2 linked regions of the Ovis aries genome follow. The protein of the gene in region 1 interacts with the protein of each later gene in a pairwise test. Links are inferred from orthologs where the notes say so. Each region holds a gene or a part of one and is shown on either strand. Other genes may lie near its edges. The genes, in order: CCDC158 and GPSM1.

What was found.
Region 2: the proteins of CCDC158 (region 1) and GPSM1 interact in a two-hybrid assay, tested with the Homo sapiens proteins (2 studies listed by BioGRID and IntAct). The link is inferred for Ovis aries from reciprocal best matches to the Homo sapiens genes CCDC158 and GPSM1.

Annotation. Positions count from the first base shown.
Region 1 is NC_056059.1:92,006,110-92,009,923, forward strand, and holds part of CCDC158 (coiled-coil domain-containing protein 158), read right to left. Parts: intron 3,455-3,814; coding exon 3,340-3,454; intron 1-3,339.
Region 2 is NC_056056.1:3,139,771-3,143,584, reverse strand, and holds part of GPSM1 (G-protein-signaling modulator 1), read left to right. Parts: intron 1-1,146; coding exon 1,147-1,368; intron 1,369-2,053; coding exon 2,054-2,189; intron 2,190-2,861; coding exon 2,862-3,004; intron 3,005-3,220; coding exon 3,221-3,344; intron 3,345-3,532; coding exon 3,533-3,648; intron 3,649-3,814. UniProt on the Homo sapiens protein: Guanine nucleotide dissociation inhibitor (GDI) which functions as a receptor-independent activator of heterotrimeric G-protein signaling.

The sequences.
Region 1 (3,814 bases):
GGATCACTGGACAAATAAGTACTGGGATCTCATTATAATCGTACAGTGATTTTAGATATCACCAATTGTGCCAAATTGTTATCTCGCTTTCTGTGCTCAAAAATACACAGTTCTGGGATAATAAGGAATGCTGCTGGTCAGCATGGAGGTGCATTGGCAGAACTATGCAGAGATTTGCATAGAATCTCCCTGCACAGGGTACAGCTCCAGCCAGTGCTACTACAACTTCACTTTTTGAGTAAGAAATTCAGCCCCAAATGCTTTCAAAGTATGAAAAGTAAACTTAGAATCAAGATTGTGAGATATTTTTGTTATCAAAAAGCGAAAGTTAAGAGTAAAGCCAAATCTACAGAGCCAATAGTGACAGCTTCTACTGGTCCAAATTCGTAAAGGGGAATTCTGGAGGTTCTCCTAAAATGGAAAGAGAAGAATAGAAAAAATATTACAGTAAAACACTTTTGTATGTCTGAAAGCTATGTCTACAGTCTTCTTTGAAACATCACTTTTCATCAGTATGAAAATACTTTTGCTTATCTGAAGGGACACTTGTCTGGCTAAACAAGTTTTCTCTATACTTATGCATTCTAGTTGGGAAAGTTTTGTTCAGCCCTGTCATGCAATCAATTTTTAAAAATAATAAATATTTTTTTCTGAAGGAATCTGACCCTCAGGAGAAAATACTAACACTGCCTGCCTCTCATAAAATATGTTGATGTATAATATCAACATACTCTTAAATAATAAGTCTCTCTTCCCACAAATCTCACTTTTAATCATAGCTGTATTTTTTCCTTGTTATTTGGACAGTATATATTGTATATATTAAACGTACAGCAGCAGTGGAAAAATAAAATTTTAAGATTTTATTTAATTTTAAGATTTTAAGGTTTTAATAGGCTTTAGCCTATTAAATGTCAAGGTAAATGAAAATAAAAGAAATTAAACAAAAGAATCTGTGTTTTTTTAAAATTCTACATTCAATTTATCACAATGAAAATATTTTATAATGATAGAATTTTTCATGAACACAAAATAAAATACTTTCGTTAATGTGTTTGATCTTCTTTGCTTAGTTACACTATGTATTTTTTTTTTACACCATGTATGTTTAATGCTTTTCAGGTCAGAGACATTAAAATCTGTATTTACATAGCAGGATAATCATCTCTCAGTGTTCCTTGACTAAAGCGAGTTACTATAGAGATTCTAGGTGCCAACTCGATTAGGCTTACTACGCTTTACCAAAAGTCTCAGTGATCTGGATTAAAATTAATTAAACTAATATGGCCTCCTTTTTTCCAATAATGTTGACTCTTTAAGACTGTAAAAATTGTTCATGATCAATTGTTTACATTAAAGCAAGGTAAGACAATGATTTTAGTACTGTGTTTGTATCTACATGACCTCAAAACCCTCATATAAAAGGTTTCAGTCATTTATCTGAGGCTAATGCTTCTACAATGCGAAAGAGATAGGTGTTTATAAAAACAAAAATGATTTTTGTACTGTTAAGATGTCAATATTTGTTAAAATTTCCTACCATGCCCAAATTTAGGTTGATCAGCATGGTGTTATACATCAGACGACATGCATATTAGCAAACAACTGGGTGACAGCTTATGAAGAGGCTGTTTCCAAGCAACATTACAAATGGAAAGCTATATTAATTTCAAATGATGTAAGATAGATAGGTGAGTCAAGTCTTAGTATTTAATATTTTGTGGCTTTTCAAAGGGTCTGTCAATAAACAATGAAAATTAAATCTTTTCAGAATGGGTTGCGTATGATGAATATCAGTCATTGTATAGACTTGATCTGCCCAGAATGGGGTGGATATTCCTGTTATCCATCTTCAGGGGAAAAGTCCATCCTGAACTAGAACACAAAAGGCAGGCCTCAGAGAAGCCGGAAAGAACAAATATTTCTGTCTGGGCTTTTGTTTCTTGGATTTAGCCTTTAAGAAGTCTAAGGCTCCTTAAGGCTACTTCTAGGTGGCAGTGGTTGAAATGACCCTGACACAAGAATCAAGGCCAAGAGCTAAGGAAGAGGTTTTCGAGAGCAGTGCTGTTCACACTGCAACCCACCAGGAAAAAGTGAAATCAATTTAGTGGGCGTCAAATCAGTATCTGAAGAGAAGAAAAAGAGCCAGTGTCATATTATTTTGTGAAACATACTTGGATTGTATCTGTGTATACTAGATCATATGGAAAACTACATTTCTTGATGTGGGTAGTGATCAAAAATGTTTGAAAGCCCCTGTAGAGGATCCAAATCTCAAAACTGAGATTATACAGTTTCACGTTACTCTTTATTGTTTAGACCTTATAGCAAGATCATGTCTAAATTTTCTATCCTTTTAGCTGTGCAACAACTAACTAAAGTTGAAGTCTTGAACTAGAGAATCAAGGAGAAAGAGCCCCCTCCTGTGACCAGCATAGGGGTGACAGCGATAATGAAAGGAGGGGTTGCCCAAAGGCAGGAAAATATCTGGAAGAATTAGTGCTGCAATTTTTCAACTGCCTCTTCCCATAAGGAGCTTTTTCCCTTGTACCATTACCCTGTAGAACTAGATTATGTTATAAAGAAAATCTGTCAGCTTTCTTATACTCTATTTTTTCCCAATTAACTAAGGAGTAAAAAAATTGGCTACAAGTGGTTAGACCTGCAGGTTCTCTTATAGGTAGGATGACTATCTAAAGGATTTATCATCCAAACTAGGGCATTTTGGAGGTGAAAGGTGGTATTCACAAAACAGGATACTATTCTGCGTCCTTGAAATCAACAAAAACCTAAGCTCCAAAAAATTGGTTGATAATGAAAATAGTTTCTTTTTAGCTATGGAAACTGAGAAAACAGAATACTGTAGTAAATAATAATGTCTAGTTTTAATAGGAACAGTGTGATAAGAGATGAAGATTTAGCTTGCTAATTTTTTCTTATTCAGACTAATCTTGAAGTGAATTCAGTTTGTAAGCCTCACAATGATTAATAAGGAGGAGTTGAAGTAAGAAATAGCCTAAAGTATTCAGTGGGAGGGGGAGAACAGCTGGTGCCAAGTACTTGCAAAAGCTAAACCTTGTAGCAGTAATTTAAATGATGTTATCCTTTAATTTTTTAGAAACTTGCTTGAAGAATGCAGGAAACTTTTCTAAGAATGAATTGATTTGAGCAAACACTGTGTATAATTAAACATGTAGATATTTAGCACCCATCTTATAAACTGCTTTTAATTTTAAATGATTGCTTTGATTCCTCATTTTCAAATAAACCATTAAAAACTATCTAACTGATTCTGTGTATAACAGTCTCTGGAAGCAGAACAGCAAAATTTAAACTCACCTTGTCTTCATACATCCTTTTGGCTTCCCTTAATTCAGAACGTAGTTGAGAAACAGTAGATTCCAGGTCACTCAGTTGGCGCATGTACATTGAATTTTGGTTTCTTGCTTGCTCTCTAAGAAGGGTTTAAAGAGGGAATAAGAGAAAATAAGATCTAAGGTAGAAGGAAAAGAGCATGACAGAGGATGAGATGGTTGGATGGTGTCACTGATTCAATGGACATGAACTTTACCCAACTCTGGCAGATGGTGGCCTGGTGTGCTACAGTCCACAGGGTCGCAAAGAATTGGACATGACTTGGCAACTGAACTCTTGCCTGGAGAATCCCATGGACGGAGGAGCCTGGTGGGCTGCTGTCCATGGGGTGGCTAAGGGTCGGACACGACTGAGCGACTTCACTTTCACTTTTCACTTTCATGCATTGGAGAAGGAAATGGCAACCCACTCCAGTGTTCTTGCCTGGAGGATCCCAGGG
Region 2 (3,814 bases), on another chromosome or scaffold:
TGCACCCTCCAGGAGGAGAGGATCAGTGACCCCGACGTGGGGGGGTCCCGGGGAATGCCTTGAGCCTGTGGGGTGCAGGGCACAGGGCTCAGCTTCTCTGGGGGTTCGCAGCTGCGTCCCGGCCTGTTCTCGAGGTGTCACCTGGTTTTCTCAACGACTCAGGGGCAGCACGAATGGACACTGTGATCTGTCTCAGAGGGGCCTTTGGATAGGGCGGTTGAGAAGCACTGACCTAGAAAACGTTGCCTGTTTCTTAGGGAAATACGTTGACTCCCCGGTAACTCCTGGCGTTGCTCAGTCCTAACAAGGTGGGAATGAGTTCGGGGGTGCAGCGGGCCGTTTGGCGAGCACACTTTAAGTTACTCTTCCACGAGCTCTGGTGACACGTGAAGGCAGTGGGAGTAAGGGGATGGGGACGGGGTCTTGAGCCGCCTCCCACCTTTCCGGGGCGCACTTTTGCAGGCTGTCTCAGTGGGGTGGGGTGGCAGGAGCCCCCGCCCTCTCTTTAGGCCCCCGCCAAGACTCCTTCTGTGCCTGCCACCCTCCTGTCCCCCTCTGGCTCCAGGGCAGGACATCGGCTCAGATGCAGCCTTGCCCCCAGAGGTTAGGAGGTTCAAGAGCTTGGAGGTTGGGCCCCACCACTCTAGGACACAGGACAGGGAAGGGGCTGGTATCGGCTTTCACCAATGTGGCCCCGACTGTCTCGTGACCCCATGAGCCTCCTGTCCTCAGCGGGCATCGGGCCCGCCCCAGGCCGCTGTGGCCCCTCTGGAGGGTGGCGGGCGGCGCCTGGCCCAGGGGCAGCCCCTCTGCCCAGCAGCCAGGAGCCGGGCCGGAGGCTGTGTCCTCCAGTTGCAGGGGTGGCTGCAGCTGTGCTCATGCGGTCCCCCGGCAATTGGGGTCCTGGGCTTGGTGGCGGGGGCAGGTGGGGACAGACAGTGAGGCTCTGGCACAGTGAGCCACACAGCGTGCCGGCCTGGGGGGGTAGGCTCGCTGCCCAACTCAGAGCTGCCTCTGTTCGTTCATCCAAAGGGAGCCGGGCCCCAGCCGTCCGGGGGGGCCCCGCGGTGGCGAGGAGGAGCCAGGGCCCCAGGCCTGATGGTGTTACCGGGCCGCTGAGACCCCTGACCCGTCCTCTCTGCCCAGGATGGAGGCCTCATGCCTAGAGCTGGCCCTGGAGGGTGAGCGGCTGTGCAAGGCGGGCGACTTCAAGGCGGGCGTGGCCTTCTTTGAGGCCGCCGTGCAGGTGGGCACCGAGGACCTGAAGACGCTGAGTGCCATCTACAGCCAGCTGGGCAACGCCTATTTCTACCTGAAGGAGTACGCGCGGGCGCTGGAGTACCACAAGCACGATCTGCTGCTGGCCCGGTGAGCGGCCCGACCCCGCCCGCCCCGCGCCGAGCGGCCTGCCCCGGGGCCCGCCCCGCGCCACCGCGGACCCCGCCCATTCAGCCCCCGCCCCGCCCCCGGCCCGCGCCGAGCAGCCTGCCCCGCCCACTCAGGCCCCGCCCCCGCCCGCTCCACCGCGGACCCCGCCCATTCAGCCCCCGCCCCGCCCCCTGCCCACCCCGAGCGGCCTGCCCCGCCCACTCAGGCCCCGCCCCCGCCCCGCGCCCCCGCGGACCCCCGCCCATTCAGTCCCTTGCCCCACCCCCGCCCTCCCACAAGCCCCCCTTTCCCAAGGTCTCCAGTCTCCTCTGGTCTCCAGAGCTTCCCCCCGCCTGCTGCCCCTCGCTGTCCACTCCCAACCCCAGTCCCCAGACCTCCCAGGCAGGGCCGGGCTTCTCCGTTCTGAGCACCTTGGCCACAGGCCTCCCCCTCCAGCCCTGAGCTGTGCTCCCTGGCGTTCCCAGCCTTGAAACTGGGCTTCACCAGGGCCTCCCCGAGACCTGACCTGGCTGACGGGCGATCCTGGGCTGGGCCCACCCGCCTGGGGACCCCTGCCCAGCACCATCCCAGGGACTATGGGCGCCCCTGGTCCTCAGAGGCCCTCACCTGGGTCTATGCTGGGCTCAGTCCTGAGTTCGGCCCCTCACTCCTTTCTGCCCTCCAGGACCATCGGTGACCGCATGGGGGAGGCCAAGGCCAGTGGGAACCTGGGCAACACGCTTAAGGTGCTGGGCCGCTTTGATGAGGCCGTCGTCTGCTGCCAGCGGCACCTGGACATCGCCCAGGAACAGGGGGACAAGGTGGGCAGGCAGCATTGGCTGGGCGCCCCAGCTGGGACTGGGCCCCAGAGGATACCACCCAGGGCCCCAGGCGCCCGGGCTGGGAGGAAGACGGGGGATGGTCCCTGTTCAGAAACAAGGGCGCTTCTGGCTCACATGGAGGCCGTGGGGCTGAGTCCTGGGCCCCCGTTTTCCCTGTCTGCTCCCCTCTCACCGACCTCCCCGCTGAGTCCAGCGATAGTCCCCATCGCTCCTGGGCCAGGGGGCGGCGGGGGTGGAGGTGGCTCTGGGAGGAAGCCTGGGCAGAGAGGCTCTGCTGAGCCCCTGATGGCTGCTCAGTGTCCTCCCGGTGACCTTGTGGGGTCAGTGTCCCTGCCTCTGTACGGATGACGTCACTGCCTCGGGAGGGCTCCACTGCGGAGAGGTCACCGACTTGGCCCGGTCCCCCTTGGAGGTGGCAGAGCTGGAGTCCTTATCCGGGGTGTTAGAGGGGTGACCCGGGAGGGACAGAGCCCTCCTTATGACCCCTGCCTTAGTGTTTGGACAAGGGGATGCCCTTGCGCTCGTAGCCCCAGGGGCAGGGAGGACCACAAACCAGGCCGTGGGAATACCAGCTCTGCGCGCAGGGTCTGGGCGCCTGGCTCCTTGGGACTGCGGCTTTGGAGGCAGCCCCGGTCTCGGTGTCACCCCCAGGTCGGGGAGGCGAGGGCTCTGTACAACATTGGCAACGTGTACCACGCCAAGGGCAAGCAGCTGTCCTGGAGCGCCGCGCAGGACCCGGGGCACCTGCCACCTGCTGTCCGCGAGACACTGCGCCGGGCTTCCGAGTTCTACGAGTAAGCAGAACGGGCGGGGCCCCGGGTGGCTCCCCTCCCCACAGCACCCACCCCTGGCCTCCTTGGCGCCCGAAAACCAGAGTCCTCGAGCTCAGCACTGAGACGCTCCCATTAGGGGGCATGACCCCCGGGGGCCACGGGCTCAGCATCCTCTGGCCTAGACGGGCGGCAGGGCGTTGCTGGTGGGGATATGGCTCACACGCACTTGGCCTCCAGGAGGAACCTGTCCCTGGTGAAGGAGCTGGGTGACCGGGCGGCCCAGGGCAGGGCCTACGGCAACCTGGGCAACACCCACTACCTGCTGGGGAGCTTCACGGAGGCCACGACCTTCCACAAGGAGGTGAGCGGAACGGCGGGGCTGCCCCCAGCCCCCTTGCTTCGTCTGGGCTGGGTGTCTGGGCTCCTGGGTTGCACCCTGGGCACGCGGATGTTGGGCTGGCTATGCTGGGTAGGGGGGCAGCGCCTGCCACCGGTAGCAGGTCCTGGGTTGCCTCGTGACCACCTCAGGCCTTGCGTCTGTGTCCTCAGCGCCTGGCCATCGCTAAGGAATTTGGAGACAAAGCAGCGGAGAGGAGAGCCTACAGCAACCTGGGCAACGCCCACATATTCCTGGGGCGCTTTGACGTGGCCGCCGAGTACTACAAGTAGGCAGCCCCCCACTGCCCGGCCAGGGAGAGGGTGGGCTGGGCAAGGGCGCCTGGACAGCAGGCCAGGGAGGCGTCCCACTCCCCACCCCCCACCACAAGGCCTGCCCACCTGTTCCTCCCAAGGCCTGCCCACTCAGCGCCCCCCCCGGGGCCTACCCGCCTG